Linked DNA regions of Arabidopsis thaliana. The protein of the gene in region 1 interacts with the protein of each later gene in a biochemical or structural test. Each region holds a gene or a part of one and is shown on either strand. Other genes may lie near its edges.

Region 1 (8,748 bases):
ACTATTTTTGGTTTATAAGTTGTAGCAAACATGCATCACCACTATCTCAGATTTTCCAAAGGAATTTGTTTGTTTTTTAATTATACATTTTGTCTTTCTATATTATTATTTTTATAAAATCTCTAATGGAAAAGATGCAGAAATACAAATGTTGAAAATAGAACTTAGCTAAACAAAAGGAATTATAAGGAAAAAACAAAAGATAATTTAGCTAAGCAAAGTATCATGATGGTGAGCGTTGACAAATGAATCATTCGTCTTCTTCAAAAGCAGTGACGGGGAAAGTACGTGATAGTCCCGTAGGATTAGCAAAAGTGATTTGAGTCGGATCTTGATGATTAACAAAGATCTCAGAGATCGTAACCCAAATCAAAATCTCTTTGCTCTTGATTCCCGTGAGCTGACTCATCCGACGATTCTCAAGGATCGCAGTAACCTCCGAATCGTAAGATACGTTTCGTCCAATGGCTTTAAACCGATGTTGAACCTTGTTCTTGATCTTGATCCAGACATAACCGGTTGATTTGTTGTGACCGATCTCTGTCATGTTGTCTAGAGGAAGAAGACCTTTGGGTAGATTCATGGTTGATAAAATCTCTTTGGCTTTCTGTTTGCAGTTTGATTCGCCATTGCAGATCTCTGCTCCTTCTCTTTGATCTGATTTCGTTTCTTGAGACGACATTTCGATGAGATTTGTGGTGGTGACTTTTTGGGGACTTTTTGCTGGATTTATATAGAGGTGTGAGTTTTGGAATTGAATGACGAAATTGGGTCTGTGGAAGAGGAAGGAGAATAGTATTAGAGAGGGTAACATGGAAATTTCGTATAAAATGAGGTGGGACGCATGCAGTTCATGTTCGTGGAATAATTTATTTTATTCGTTGATTGAATATAAAATACATTCGAGAATTTCTTATTTTGATTTTTTTTTATTACAAACATGTTGAAGTGTTTAAATTTAAAATAAATCAAACTGAATATACGCTTAATTTTCTGAAAAAAAAATTTCGTCTTTTTAATAGGTAAATTTCTTAAAATCTTTATTGATAATAGAGAAAAATAAAATTTTCTTGATTTATCATGTGAAACAAGTTCAAAGCAGAAGACTCGTGTAGAATAATGTTTTGTGTTCAAACAGAACGGTATCAATGTATCATAGTCAAGCTGTGAAATAAGATTGTGTTTTTGTGTCAATTAATGTCAGTTTTGTATACTCTGCTTTTGATAATCTAGACTTTTCTATGAAACCGGGTAAAAATACATTATCTGCAGATATACATGCTCTATAAATGAAGTCGAGTTTTCAAACTCAATTTGATGAAAAATACAAATGATCACCATCCCAAATGACATCTAAATCATCAATCTCAGCGTTGTCCGCATTGGTGATCTTTGTGAAGTTGCAGCCTCCAAACTTCTCACTTGCAAGTCTTAGAAGCTCTTCTATGGATGATGGTAAGAGTATCAACTTCCCGTTCTTGCTCTCAGACATCATGTGGATGGTAACTCTCTTTTCTTCTCGTTTGCATGGCTTGATGATTTGGTTGCTTGAGCTGCAATATGGATCTTTTTTCGATGAATCGTTAGCGTAACTTCTTCCAGCGGTTTCACTACTTGATCTTTCCACTTTGGCTCTCTCTATCTTTTGTTCCTTAAGTATCTTCTTAACCATTTCAGTATCTTCCTTGTGAATCGCATCCATTAGAGCAGTGTCGGAAGTCGGATTCGTAACATCTAAACCATAGCCATCTTTTCTTGAATCTCTCCACTCTTCCCATCCCATGCTTTTGAAATCTCTGTTTTCGTGACCACTAGTATTCGAATCATCTATTGCTATTGACTGTTGCCCTCTAAGTTTCTGAAAGTTTTATAGCCAAAAATGAGTTTAGAGTTTGTTTTAACTATAGAAACATTTCTATAATAACTCACATACCATGAAGAGATTGTTCATGATGACTCGTCCATCGTCAGCATGAGCATGCATCGCACTCATCAGCGATGTTCTGCTTATCCGCAGTATTTGAGATAGCTCGGTTGTTCTTACTGTGAATGGTTGTGGTCTATAGTATAAAACTCCAACCTCTCCAAATGTTTCTCCAATTACTGCTTTCCCTTGAAACTGATCATGTCCATCAACGTAGACAGTGAAGTCCTGTACAATACACAATGTTACAAGATTCCTAACTGTTATTCACATATTTACATATAACCGATATATTTCACTCACCACTGCTCCTGACACCAGAATGTAAAGATCAGTAGGAGCTTCGTTTTGTAGAATTATATCTTCTTTTGGTGGGAAATACTCAGCGTCTATATCTGAAACCTTGAACATGAAAAGGTACATGGAGTTGGTCACCTCTTACATATTAAACGTTAAGAAAAAAGGTTAGAGAATACAATTTTACCAATTGAAAGAGGAAGTTACGAGAAACTCCTTGAAAGAGGTAAATGTTGTGAACAATGGGGAAGAATAAATAGTTTGCAATGCTTGACCGGATTGCTTTTGGCAGATTGTTCAAGGTCTCTTGTTGTTTCAAGCCCTCTGTTTTGAACTTTAAGCAAATGTGTGATAACATTTGATCTTGTATGTCATGTGGGAGTTGATTTCTTGAAGCAAACTCTGAAGCAGCTCTCACTGAATCCCTCTGTTTAACACAAAGCAATAAAGCATTACAGATTAGTAATACTCAATATTATTTTAGTCAACTTAAAATACTCAAAAGTACGTAAACCCCACGCTATTACCCGAACCTTTATCCGAAATGAACATGCCTAGACTAAAAGAAAGTGATCAAACTTACAAAGGTTCTGGTTCGGCTAGTCCAATGAACGACGAGGTTGGTCATATTTCCAATGAGGTAAGCTGTCAAACCGAGGTTGAACATCATGAAGAAAATGTCAAAAAGCATTTCTCTTGGGTTCTCAGCATGAAAATCTCCATATCCCGTGGTCGTTAATGTCGTAATGGACCAGTAAAGAGCAGTCACATATCTATTCCATAGACTTGCTTCTTTGAAATTTGGATACACAGCTCCAATCCATGTCTTTCTTGGATTAGGATATCTATCTGCAATCAGGTAGTTGAAACATCCAGCACAATGTATAGCGAACAAAGTGACCTGAGATCAACAAGCACGTGTAAGTCACTAGCTTTAATATGGTGTCCATTTAAAAGACAAATAAACCCTAAGAATAGATCACCTAAATGGACAGCCCTAAGCTTAAAATGCTTTATTATAAGTGAGATTAGTTTTGCTCTGTTTTGGAACTAACCGAAATGAGTTTTGTGCAACGTATCCAGAAATAGTTGAAACGGATATCTTTCTCAAGCCTGAAGCAAAGGTAAGAGTTAGTTAGACTTGAGTAAGCACTTTCTTAGTTAAACCCTAAGAAGAGTATGGTCTCTTAGTTAGCATAGAAGCAAACCTTGCAAATAGCGAGCTAACTCGCCGGAGACGCCATAACCTGAGCATGCTAAGAATTCTGAATCCTAGTTCGCTTCCGTTGTAGTTAAACAAGAGGCTTAGTGGCTGAAATGGTGCTGTGGAACAAACATCGAAAGCGAACCACGTCGAAAGGTACCTGAAAATGTTACAATTTCAAAACATACTTTGAGATTCTCATTCACTTATAAAAGGTTTCAAGTTAAGAAAAAAGGTTTCTCACCTTATTGCTATTTTCTTAGGACTGTCAACTAGAAGATAGGAGTGGCTATCGAGATAAGCGACGAAGAAGGTGAGAATAATATCAATGGCGAAGAAGCCATTAACAATGTTGTCGATGATGAAAATCGCGTCTTTTTTATAGGTGATGAAAGCAAATTGAAATGGGCAAATCCAAGCTGAGTAAATAACTAGTAATACTAGCCACATCTCCCACGCTCTGTTTCAACAAACAGAGGATTGAAAACAGAGTCTTTAAATATACTTATAACGTGAGTAAAAACAGAGTAGTTAAAACTACTTATAACCTGAATAGTTGAAAACATAGTTGAAAACAGAGTACTTAAAACAGAGTTTAGTAGATGAGAAAATTACCTGTAACGTGGATTAAAAGGAGAGATTATGTGTTTGCGGAGCTTAGTAGATTGGTTGATCCTGGCTCCAAGAGATGGTAGAAGATCGGCAGAGAGGAAACTACTCTGTTTTATGGTGTCTATATTGTATTCCTCGACGCAGAATCTTTCGAAGAAATTTCGAGTCCAAGAGATCGACATCTTTTTGATGATCTCTAAAGACAAAGAAACTGTTATACCTTTTTAGGCTTTCTTCTTGGCAAGGTAGTTATAAATAGTGATGAAGCTTGTGACAAAGCAACACGGGGAAACTTCTCTTTTCTTCTTCTGTTGGGACCTTTATGGCAACTTGTTGTGACCCATTTGTTATCTTTTTTTCTTTTTGGTTGAGAATTTGGCAGGGAAAGGTTAACGGCTTTAAGAAGACTCAGTGCACCATTAATGCTGCAAAACCAATATGGTTTCGATTCGAGAAGCAACAATGGTGAAGAAAAGGCGTAAAATGCGGAACGGAGTAAGTGTGAGATGATCAAAAATCTTGAGAGATGAGACAGAATTTAAGTGGCAAACATTGAGCTTTTGCGGTAGATATCATCATATTTTGTTTCTTTTTTGACACGAAAATATAAGATTCGAAAGAGGAGGAAGAAGAAGAGGAAACGCAATCTGTTTCTTTGGAGGTTTCTACTTGATGAGATTCATGACTATCAGACTATGGTGTGATGTCCACTTTCCTAGCATTTGAAGGTGGGAGTGATATATAGACATAGAGACACATATAAAGGAAGGAAGGTACGTTTGGTGTTTGGTAAGTGTTAATGGGAGGACAAAAATGGGCATGAAAATTATGGTGTGTTCATTTCAGGAATCCAGAAATGGACCAAGCAAAATAAAGAAAATAAAATGGCATTTGACAGAATATGTAAGGGGCCAGAGTATATTTTTTTTTCTTTCTTCGAAAAAAGTTTTATTTTCTCATCAACTATTCTTAAAGTATATGTCTCTATTTTATTTTCTAGTCCCCAAAACCAATCATAAGTTTATTGTACTCATTGCAAAAAAAAAAAAAAAAAAGTTATTGTTCTCATTTTGGATTGAGTTTTACTAAATAGCCATAAACTTGGAAGATTATTTCCAAAACACTCATATAGAAAATATAGTAGTCCATTTAATCTTTTTGCATGGGAAGTGAAACTCTAAGATTATTTTACCGAAACAGCTTATATAATGTATTATTATTATAGAAGCTACGTGAACTCTCCACGTGGATAAACCGAATCTAGGTAGCGAATGAGGCTCTCTAAACAGTGAAGTCCCAAACTCTCTTCTCACTCGGACACACTCGCTGGCTCGCAAGCAATATGTCTTTGTTGTGTTTTGACTTTGGTTTATACTTAGTACTTAGGAGAAGACACACCAATAGGAGATCTTCACGTGGTGGGTTTTTTCATGTGTGTACACTTGATTTCTTGTCCGTCCCATACTTCTCATTCCCGTCGGTATGGTGGCCCCTCCCTTCTCCTTCATGTTCTGATTCCATTTACTAATTTCTTATAAACCCTTTCTAGATATATGTATGTTTTCATTTCTCTAGTGTGCTAGACTCTTTATATCTTAATCTCACTAATAAAGGAAAAATACGTAATTTATAAATTTTAACAAAATAATAAACTTGATTTCTAAATTCTTAATTAAGAATTTAAAAATGACATCTTACTCATAGGAGGAAATATATGAAATGATAAATCCCATAAACTGTGAAAGAACAAATCTAGAGTTTAAAACACAACATGATAAAATATATATAACATGGCTATAAATATTTTTAACAAAAAGGTGATAAATTATAGATGAATTGTACATTGACTACATTCTGTGCAAATGAACATGTGCTAACCTTTTCTAATGCGGTTATAATTGACATGGGAAAACAAAAGAAAAGAAAAAAGAATCAGGAATTTTTTCTACAATAGGAACGAGAAATGAGAGAAAACAAATTGAAACAACTAAGAATAAAGTTATGAAAAATCATGGTTTATAATAAAACACATTTGTATACGAATATTGATTTTTTGGTAATCCTAAATATTTGACTAAACTTTTGTTTTCGTTCGCTAGTATAGAATGCCAAGTATAAATTCTTCAAACCTTTCCGCCAAATTTGTATTATTAAATCATTCCAAAGCTTTTTGTTTCTGCGTCGATCTGAGCCCGTTCGAATGTATCTTTCATGATTCCTTGTTGATATTTTGTTTATTGTCTTCCTGAATCCTAATATCATTATAGAAACAAAACAAAACAAAATAAAGTAAATGAGAGATTCCTAATATAAACATAACATGAGCTAACTTTAATATTATTTTCTCGTGATTAATTAGTTTTGCCAATAAAAGTTTTATATTAGGTTTTATGATCTAACTTACTTTTTAAAAGATGATTATAACTATTGAAAAATGAATTATTTCGGCTTTCAAATTTTAGTATTTTGTGATTTTTTTTTTGTTTTTTAATTTCGGTTATTCATATATTTCAAATCAAAAGGAATTACTGGGTTACTAAACCTTGCCTTAAAAGACCAGAAATCGTAAACTGCTTTAAGTTTGCTATTTGCTGTCTTCCTAGTGCAAGTGGGGTTGTTCATGTTAACTGTTTAAATTTAAGTTTAAGCTGTCACATGCATGCTAAGAGTAGTGTAGGGTCTAAAAATTTGTTAGTTATTTTTGTTGTTGTGGGCCATCATAAGTCTTGGAATCGGTTGGTCTAAACCTGTTTTATACCTTCTTCAAACTACATTGGAGCTGATTTTCATTTTATATTCATGTAAGATCATCGAGTTCTAGTAACTTGATTTTGAGGTCTCAAAAGAGAATATAAACTGTATATGGTTGGCGAGTGGAACCATGAGCCATCGTCAAACATTATTTTTTGATGGTTAGCCGCGAATTAATCTTCAAAACCGTATTTGTAGTCATATTGTATTATAGTTGGTAGGTTTTGGATTGGTAGTTTTAGTAACGACCAGATTGAACCATGCTGGTCTATTCCACTACAATTTTTTTTCTTTTCTGGTTAAATATGTTATCTAGAAAATCTAGATTTTTCTTGGGATTTAGTACCCTACATTATACGTTGCACATTATTAACGGGTCCAATACTAGATAACAGATAGAGACATTTTCCAGTAAATCTTCCATTAAGTTAAAAGTCAACTATTCTATTCTTAACCCTTCTCATGATCATATTAGACTGTAAAGGCAGTTGAGACTTTTATTGAAAATTTAGAGTTTTTCTATTATCAAAATGCGTCTAATTATTATATTTTTTATTTTTTTTGTTATGAAAACTTTAAAAATCTTAATGGATGTATTATAATTGTGTCTTATAAATAAAAACAGTTTAACATTAACTGTAATTATAGTCGTTATGGATGGAATATCGTCCCGGGTTGATCCTCTTTCTCATGCTACTAAGAGGAGAAAGATCTGATTTAACACAAATAAAAACAAGATAATTTTCCACAATATCAACGGTACAAGAACAACATGATAAACGAGTCATAGACACTGCATAAGTGATTTTGTTTGTGTAATGTCGGCATGATTTATATGAGATTTGTTTTTGTCGTCTACATTAAAAGTTAGGCTTGATATATGGGTCCTTCCATTTCTTATTGGGTAAAACTTGCAGGCTTCTTACTGTTTTCGCAATGTACCATTTGATACCTAAATTACCTAAGAGTTGTACAAAATCAAGAAATAATATTTATATAGCAAAAAGAATATTAAGATTTTCCCAATAAATTTAGCAATTATCTCTTCAATCAAGCATGTCATTTACAGTTTGGCCTATAAACTTAGGTTTTGAAACATGTGATGAATTATAACGTTTGTAGGATGTGTGTGTGTCTAACGCAATTAGGTTCATGTAGTTAATGACGAGTAGGGTCAAAATCGTAAGGAGGATCCTCGTGATTGTCCTACAACGTGGGAAACTTTTTGTTGTAAAGCAAAAATTAAATCGATCACTAATATTTTGTTTTTTGTTGGGTAGGTATATATAGCCTGTGATTCTGTGAATTAAGAACGGTTTAAGCCTTTCCAATCTCTCTTTTCCTTGGAACCACACGAACATAAAGTTCTGTTAGTTTGCTCTTTAATTTTGTTCCCCATAATTAGGTGCTTTCATTTCCTTCCGACAAAAGAACTAAAATAGCATTTATTTAGAAATATATGGTACCATCACTTTTTAAATATTCGAAAAATACTCCTCTCTGTTCCTAATAATCAAATTTCAAAAATATACTGTACATTTTTAGGGGTTTAGTATAGCTTTTATCAGTTATTGATGAAGAATTGTAGAGTTTATACATAGAAAATTGTTAGTTACAAAATAATGTATTAATCATTGATTATTAATATGTTTCTTATTATGTTTGAAAACTAAACAAAATTAGATTAGTTAGGTACAAAAGAAGTATATTGATTTGACGCTATCGATTTTTGTCCATAATTTTGTTTACCCTAAGCCCACCCATTAGTAATATTTTATTAAAGCTAAACTATCATTCCCAAGTGTTAAAATTCAGAAATCAGAAATGCTGCCAAGACAAACAAAAAAACGGATGGTAGCTTGATTGACTAATTTGGTAGAGTTTCGAAATATTGTAATCCCTTCATTTTGTCGAAGAGTCAAAGTAAATTTTCACCCGTGAGACCTATAAATAATATTCC
Region 2 (7,391 bases), on another chromosome or scaffold:
AAACCATTTTGATCGGCAAAATAAGGAACGTCGGTGTTTGCTCTCTTGTGGACTGAAAAAGGAGATGTTGGAGGAGATTGTTGACCAAACGAGTTCCTGGGAATCTGCATTTTCGGCATAAAATGAACAGCATTCGTGTTCCCATATGGTTTCATGAAGGTTGGACTGTTGCTGTCTTTGTGTTCCCATGTATGAACAGAAGTAGGCGAGTCTCGAAGATGAAATGTAGGGCTAAATTCTGAAGCATTCCCAAATTGTGTGGTCTGACTTGTTCCACTTTGGCCGCTGGAACTCTTTTGAGGACTCACATCTACAATACCATTAAGAGCTGAAACATACTGATAATGATCTATATCCGTCTGCTGGTTCGTGTTTCGGTTTATGTTCATATTCCTTTCATGGAAAATTTTAGGACTCTCTGATGATTCTGTGGAAGGTACAAGAAAGACCCTAATCCTCTGGGATCCAGCCTTTGTTTCAGCTTCTTGATACTCTTCAATCATATGAAGAAGATCCTCATCTGAGCAAACCGATATAAGGGCATCAAGATCTTCTCCTGGTAATTGATACTTGATTGTATGCGGATGGTTGCACAAAGCATAAGTCTTGTGCATCAATTCGTTTAATCCAACATGTTTGCGTATTGAGATAATCCGAGTCTCCCCTCCAATGTATCTAAGCTTGCCATCACCAGGCCGCTGTAAGATCCTTCCCCCGAAGCTACAAAGAAGCTTCAATACTTCAGGCAAATAAACATCTGATATTGCAGTTTGAAACATCTTCCGAGGTGAGTCTGCAACATTTGACTCAGCAAAGTAACCATTCGAGGAATTAATACCTTCTGACATGTTGGAATCAACTCTTTGAAGGCCAAGAATTCTGTTGAAATCCTCGTAAACAAGATGGCGATTATTATAATTACCCTCAACATTTCTGTTAACACCACCATGTTGTAGTCTTCGTTGAGCACCAAAATCCCTCAAAAACTCATTTGAAAATTCCTCTCCTGTCTGAGAACAGTTATTACCGCAACCAACTTCTCCATTGAACCTATCCCTACCTAAATGCTGATTGGAGCTGCCAGGAAACTCCATTCTCATGTTCTCAAGAACCAAAAACGCTTTATTCTTTCTTCTGCACAATCTCTTGTATCACAGATTCTGAGTAACCAATTTCTGTTCTTCAACTCCCCAAATTTCAAAACAAAAAATGTTGAGAGGAAAATACAGGATTCTCTTACGCTCTTTGAGGAAATACAGCGAACAGGTAATGGAGATTCACAAGCCACAAGCAATTTTGTCTATCAGCAAACCTCCAACAAACATCTTCAGGGTATATTGCTACAAGATCATACCAAATCAAACAAAGACCAGAGTCTCATTCAAACGAATTAGACCAGAAATTACCCTGCATAACAACAACAACAACAACAACGAGAAACAAATTTCAAAATCAATTTTTTCTGCAAATGTTGATCACACAAATCAATTGTATATACATATATAAGCAACGAGATCATTGATGACACCGAATGTGGTGTAATCGAATTGAAAAATTGGAGCTTTAGATGAATTTGATTACCTAGGGAAAAATGGCCAATGAGATTAACAATGAAGGAGAAGAATAACAAACAAACAAAAGATGAGATTTTTGGGTAAAAGAGAAGAATGTTTCTAGAGATTGAAGTTTTTCAAAAGTTGAGGTTTTTGATTTGCGAGAGAGAGAGAGAGAAGAGAGACGCAGAGAAGCGCTCTCAAAATAACGCGGGTGGGTGACAAACTCCAAACAAAATAAAAACTAAACCTTTCTCTCTCGAAATTCTCTCTTTTTATTTCTTATTCTTGAAATTATTTTTGATTTTATTCGTTGCACTTGAATCATGGGTGAAATCATCTTCAATCTATTAATAATTTTGTCTTATCTTATTTTTATTTTTTTCAAATAGTAAATTCATAAATTGCATGTGGAGGTTTTTGAGGGAACGTTTTTATCTATTTCTTTCTTTTTTTAGCCAATTCCAGAAACTCTTTTATTTTCTTTACTCATCTCTTAGTTTTGTTAACCAAATAAAACAGATCATCCAAATTTAGATTTTTATTGGGATCTTACCTAAAAAGATTGTGTAGGATGTCTATGCATGTATGTTTTTAAAAACATGGTATATAGTTGAGACATTATGTTGTGCACGTTGAGCTTTAAATACCTCCATTAAATCTTTATTAATAACATATCAACCCCCTTGCACTAAATTAAAATCTTCACAACATTAAGATATAACCAGAATTGTTTGATGAGCTATTCAATATATTGACGTCATGACATGGCAAACTACAAGAACCAAACTTTAAGTTGCACTAACAAGTAACAAATAAGACCGTTTTTTAAATGATGAAACAAGAAAAACTAAAAAAAAACATTAGTCTCTCTTTCTCTCTGTCTGAGTCTTAAAAATGCATAAGCTGCTAAAGAGAACAAACAAAGCGAAAACGAGACAACATCCAACAACATACATCACAGAGCTTCTTCTAATGTTTTCTTTTTCCTGCAACACTCTTTTGTAAACGATTGAATAGGGAAGAGAGATCTTGGATGTTGGTTTTACCTATATGATTCAGGACGTTTTGGTTTGCTCTGTATCACTTGCTCAATCTTGTCCAGAACAATAGGGGTCAACAATGGGATCACATCAACAGCTTTCATATTTTCTTGAATCTGTCAAGGTACAAAAAAAGAAACAAAATCTTTCAGATCTTGGATCCAAATCTAGACCGAGACTCGCTATGTTAATGCTTTATAAGCGATCAAGAACTAACCTGTGACTCCCTTGTGGCACCAGTGATAACAGATGACACATTAGGATTTGAAGCACACCATGCGATTGCAAGCTGAGCCAAGGTTACACCTAGCTCATCTGCAATGGGTTTGAGACCGCTAACTTTCCTCAGCACGTCATCCACAAGTGATCTATTGGCAAGGTTCTGCGAAAGAAATTAAAACCAAGACATGTACCAGTGTATTAGTTAGATGCAGAAGCAGATTGAGGTCTTAGCAAATATGACCAAGAATACACAAGAAAAAGGAAAAAAAAGGAATACTTTGTAGTTCTCCAATGCAAATCGGCTGTCTGAGGGAATAGCTCCCTTGTTGTATTTACCAGTGAGCACACCAGATGCAAGTGGGCTCCAGGTAGTGAGACCTATACCATGGTTGGTGTACAGAGGAAGAAACTCTGTCTCAACCTACATAACAGAAGAGCATAACTTGAGCTACATAACACGAGACTACAACAACTTAAGACTGTACAAGATAAGACGCAAACATGAAAGTAAATTAAAGAAAAAGAGAGTCAGATTACAAACTTTGTGCCTAGCGAACATGTTGTATTCTGGCTGTTCGACAATTGGACCAACCAAATCCAACCGGTCAGCAGCTCCCCATGCCTCCGTAATTTGTTGAGCTGACCATTCACTGGTTCCCCAATAGAAGGCCCAACCCTTATCAATCACGTAGTTCATCGCCCTCACAGTCTCTTCGATAGGAGTTGAAGCATCCGGCCTGTAATAAATGACCCAATTCACACAAAAAAAGGAAACATTTTTAATAAACATATGTCAATCAAAGAATCTAGTGACACTTAGATCAATGCAAAGATGCCACTTTTCCAAAATATCTTGTGCAATGTATGGCAAAATGCAGATCCCAATTATCAGATATGAAATAAAAGTGGAAACCAAATAGATCCACACTATACAGCACTAAGCTACATCATAAGTGGATTCAAATTGTAAATTTTATAAATTCAAAAACAGCAATTTGTACTAAAGGCAAGCACATGTAAGAAAATTAAATGCGCAGACAACATAGTACACCAGAAATATTCAGATAAACCTTACACTCAAATCAGATCATATCAAAACCCTAGATCTTCAAAGAACCAAGTGAAAAAAAATAAAATCACTAAATAAAAAAACAAATCTGAAATTGGTCACCTGTGGCAATAGAGCACATCAACGTAATCCATATCAAGTCGTTTGAGAGAAGCTTTAGTGCCTTCAACGATATGTTTCCTAGATAAACCCTTATCGTTAGGACCAGGACCACCCCAGAAGATCTTGGTAGAGATGACGATATCGGATCGACGCCAACCCAGTTCACGAATCGCTTGACCCATAATCTCCTCAGCGCGACCATTAGCGTAAACCTCAGCGTTATCGAAGAAATTGACTCCATGATCACGACAACACTGAAGAATCGATTTCGCTTCTTTCACATCGAGCTGGTTCCCGAACGTAACCCACGCTCCGAACGAGAGCGTGCTCACTTTTAAACCCGATTTCCCCAGATTCTTGTACTGCATGTTTTCAGAAATCGATTCAAATCTGTTGATCTAAATCTCACTATCGCTCTCTCTCTCTTTAGGTCTCAAAGAGTTTGTTGTAATGAATGAAGAAGAACAGACAATAAGTACTCTATTACCAATCTTAATAAGTGACAACACTTAGCAAAATACGGTAAGCTACCGGTTTGGTTTTACTTTTCCGGTTTTCATGATCAACCAATATGTACCAAAATTTTGAATGTAATATCATAGCAAATCCAACACTCGAATACGATGATTTCTGCAATTTCCGGTACAAAATTAGGTACCAAACCATATTGAACCTCCAGATATTGGTTGTTGGTAAGAATTTATCCGGTCTAAAGGTATTCCGGTTAAGTCGCAATTTGTATAAAATATGTGATTTTAATTCGTGATCTAATTAAGATGCTGATCCCTCGTACTAAAAAAGAAAGCGTGATCTCGTAATTTTAATTAAGATGGAAAAAAAAGACTAAAAAGAGAAGATTTTTATTTGGCTCCTAATGGGTCAAAGAATCCCATGTGAATGACTTTAGTGTAGTCTCCATGTACCTACCAATCTAATGACAGACACGTGTACTTTCTTTTATGAAAAGTTGGTCATTAATAGAAGAGTTTTTGCAGTAATGGAAGAACTTTGCCCGTATACGAATAAAATCAAGTCACTGTCACGTGAAAGGTTTCATCAGTCACTCAACTTTGGAATATTTCAAGTCCTTCACGTTCACACTGGGTTTTAGGTTGTTGGGCTTTGTTTCTGTATAGGCCTTTTAGGAAGCCCATATTATCTTACTCCATATTCTAGTAAGTAGTAACTCACGTCACACATAGAGATGTTTGGATATGTAAACAAGAGATCGACATGACACTTGTATATTATTAACATCTAATTCCAAAATTTAATGATTTTGGCTGATAACCGTCAAGTCTTGATATGCTGTTATTGTAATACATTTATGATGATCATTTATATAGTTTATGGGACGACAATTTTAATACTCTAAAAAGTTTTTTAAAGTAGACATGTTATCCACCAATTACACTTATTGTATTTTGACAATTTTTAGAAAAGGTCTATTATATTAGCTATTTTACTATGTTACCAAACATGTTATGTATAACTCTTTACTATAAAAAAAAGTCTTAAAAGGAGTTGTATTTGTATTGTTAAAGTAAAGAATATTAGAAGGGGAAAAGAAAAATAGATTTAGTAATAATGTTTGAGAATCAAGTTTATGATTATGAGAAGATAATATTGGATAAAGAGAACCAAGTTTATGATTATGAGAAGATAATTAATATTGGTAGACTTGATGAATTATAAAATTTATCTGCTGTTTTGGTAATGAATGGGTTGGAGAAACAGATTGGATTCGATGCATGTGAGTGTGGGGTTTGGATTCGTTACCCTCTAAAAACTCTAGTTTTATTGGCCACCAAGAAAAAAATAAGAGGAAGATAGATTAGAAAATTCGCCTAAATCTCCCACCAAGGGTTGACATTTTTTCTCGATTTTTTCTCGTACGTTATCAAATCCTAATCTAGCTTTATCTGCCCTTTTCTTTCATGTACCCCGATACTAATCATATGGTTTTTTGCTATGTTAAGCACATGCATGCTATTATAAACGGCTTCATATATAATTCCCTACCACAGTTTTTTTAAAACGTATGATTTTACTTTTACCTAGCTATATGATACATGATATATTGCTATTAGTTGTAAGAAATTTTGAGTTTTTGCAAATTATTCAAGATCTGATATATATAAACCGATACATTTTGATGAACCACTCGATTAAGAGTACTACTAACCAAATATGACGTTTTTGAGAAAGAATTTTATCATACCTTTGGATTTAAACCAATTTATCTTACTATTTATATAGCTTTTCGCAGTATTTTTTAAAACACAAAAAAGTATTTTTCTGTTGAAATTGTATGGATTATGAAGATCACAGGATCAACTTAGTTCACGGGTATCGTTTTTAGAAGATTTCTATCATCTATACTATACTTATAAGTTTAAACTCTCCACTTTTTTCCATTTGATTAGAGAGGCACAGTGAGTGTTTCATGTGAGTCTTTTCTAACATTTTGTAGTTTACTTTTCGTTTCTTGTTTTTGTTGAATTTTTAGAATACTTGTCTTCGACTAACTTCTAAAGAAAACGGTAAAGTGCCGTTTTATTTTATCTGCGAGGATTGGGAAATATATATGAGTCATTTTCCAGCAAATCTTTAATCGCCGATCTCTAATCGTATGTTGATCTCTAATCGCGCAAGAAAACCGTATATATTTTAGAACAGTATCTTAGGTAGATCTCACATGCATTTTTCATCTTTTTTTGCTAATTCGTAATATAATGACACCGCATAGTTAGAAGAAATTAATTTGACACGTCTCAATCGAATTTAACGTTGCAATGACACGATAAAGATCATTTATATGAAAATTACGGAAGAACCTTCTAGCGTACGTCCGATCGAGAGGATCTAAAATCTTTTGGTTTCTTTCTTGTGTGCAAATTTTGTCATTTAGTTTTATATAACAAAGACAAAAACAACACATAACTAAACTAAAAACAAAACCACGTCTCTTCGTAGCACAAAACGACGACGTACAATGTCGATAGGATCCAAGTTCCAACTATTCGATATTTTTGTAACGTTTGGGAGTGTCGGTGCCTCAGCTAATATAGTAACCAGCGACAAATACAAATACTTCGAATTATCCACTATATATCTATTTATATACATACCTCAAAATGTAATCATAAATATATCACACTTATATACATTTATGGCACTGGATCATGATGAAGATGTCGTCTCCAAGGTTTGATTCAAGGAAATCAACTGAAACATTTACATGCAGTAAAGATATGTCGTAAACTGGAATAATGGTAACGACGATTGATCGTTTAGCTCATTTAATATTTTCGCGTAATCGTCCAATTCATCAAAGAAAGACACACTCTTTTACTGAACTTGTAATTTTTGGCTGATTAAACAAACACTATATGGCTAGAC

Evidence for each region.
Region 2: the proteins of KAT1 (region 1) and KAB1 form a complex in vitro, tested with the Arabidopsis thaliana proteins (one study listed by BioGRID).

What each region holds. Positions count from the first base shown.
Region 1 is NC_003076.8:18,742,343-18,751,090, forward strand, and holds KAT1 (1), read right to left. Parts: upstream 5,065-8,748; 5' UTR 4,220-5,064; coding exon 4,041-4,219; intron 3,886-4,040; coding exon 3,670-3,885; intron 3,586-3,669; coding exon 3,430-3,585; intron 3,335-3,429; coding exon 3,277-3,334; intron 3,123-3,276; coding exon 2,805-3,122; intron 2,649-2,804; coding exon 2,409-2,648; intron 2,327-2,408; coding exon 2,228-2,326; intron 2,153-2,227; coding exon 1,934-2,152; intron 1,859-1,933; coding exon 1,310-1,858; 3' UTR 1,168-1,309; downstream 1-1,167. Other genes in the region: AT5G46230 (hypothetical protein (Protein of unknown function, DUF538)), read right to left, coding at 251-682. UniProt on the Arabidopsis thaliana protein: Highly selective inward-rectifying potassium channel. This voltage-gated channel could mediate long-term potassium influx into guard cells leading to stomatal opening.
Region 2 is NC_003070.9:1,310,628-1,318,018, reverse strand, and holds KAB1 (potassium channel beta subunit 1), read right to left. Parts: upstream 4,577-7,391; 5' UTR 4,358-4,576; coding exon 3,990-4,357; intron 3,556-3,989; coding exon 3,360-3,555; intron 3,240-3,359; coding exon 3,096-3,239; intron 2,979-3,095; coding exon 2,814-2,978; intron 2,713-2,813; coding exon 2,599-2,712; 3' UTR 2,196-2,598; downstream 1-2,195. Other genes in the region: AT1G04700 (PB1 domain-containing protein tyrosine kinase), read right to left, coding at 1-1,100. UniProt on the Arabidopsis thaliana protein: Probable accessory potassium channel protein which modulates the activity of the pore-forming alpha subunit.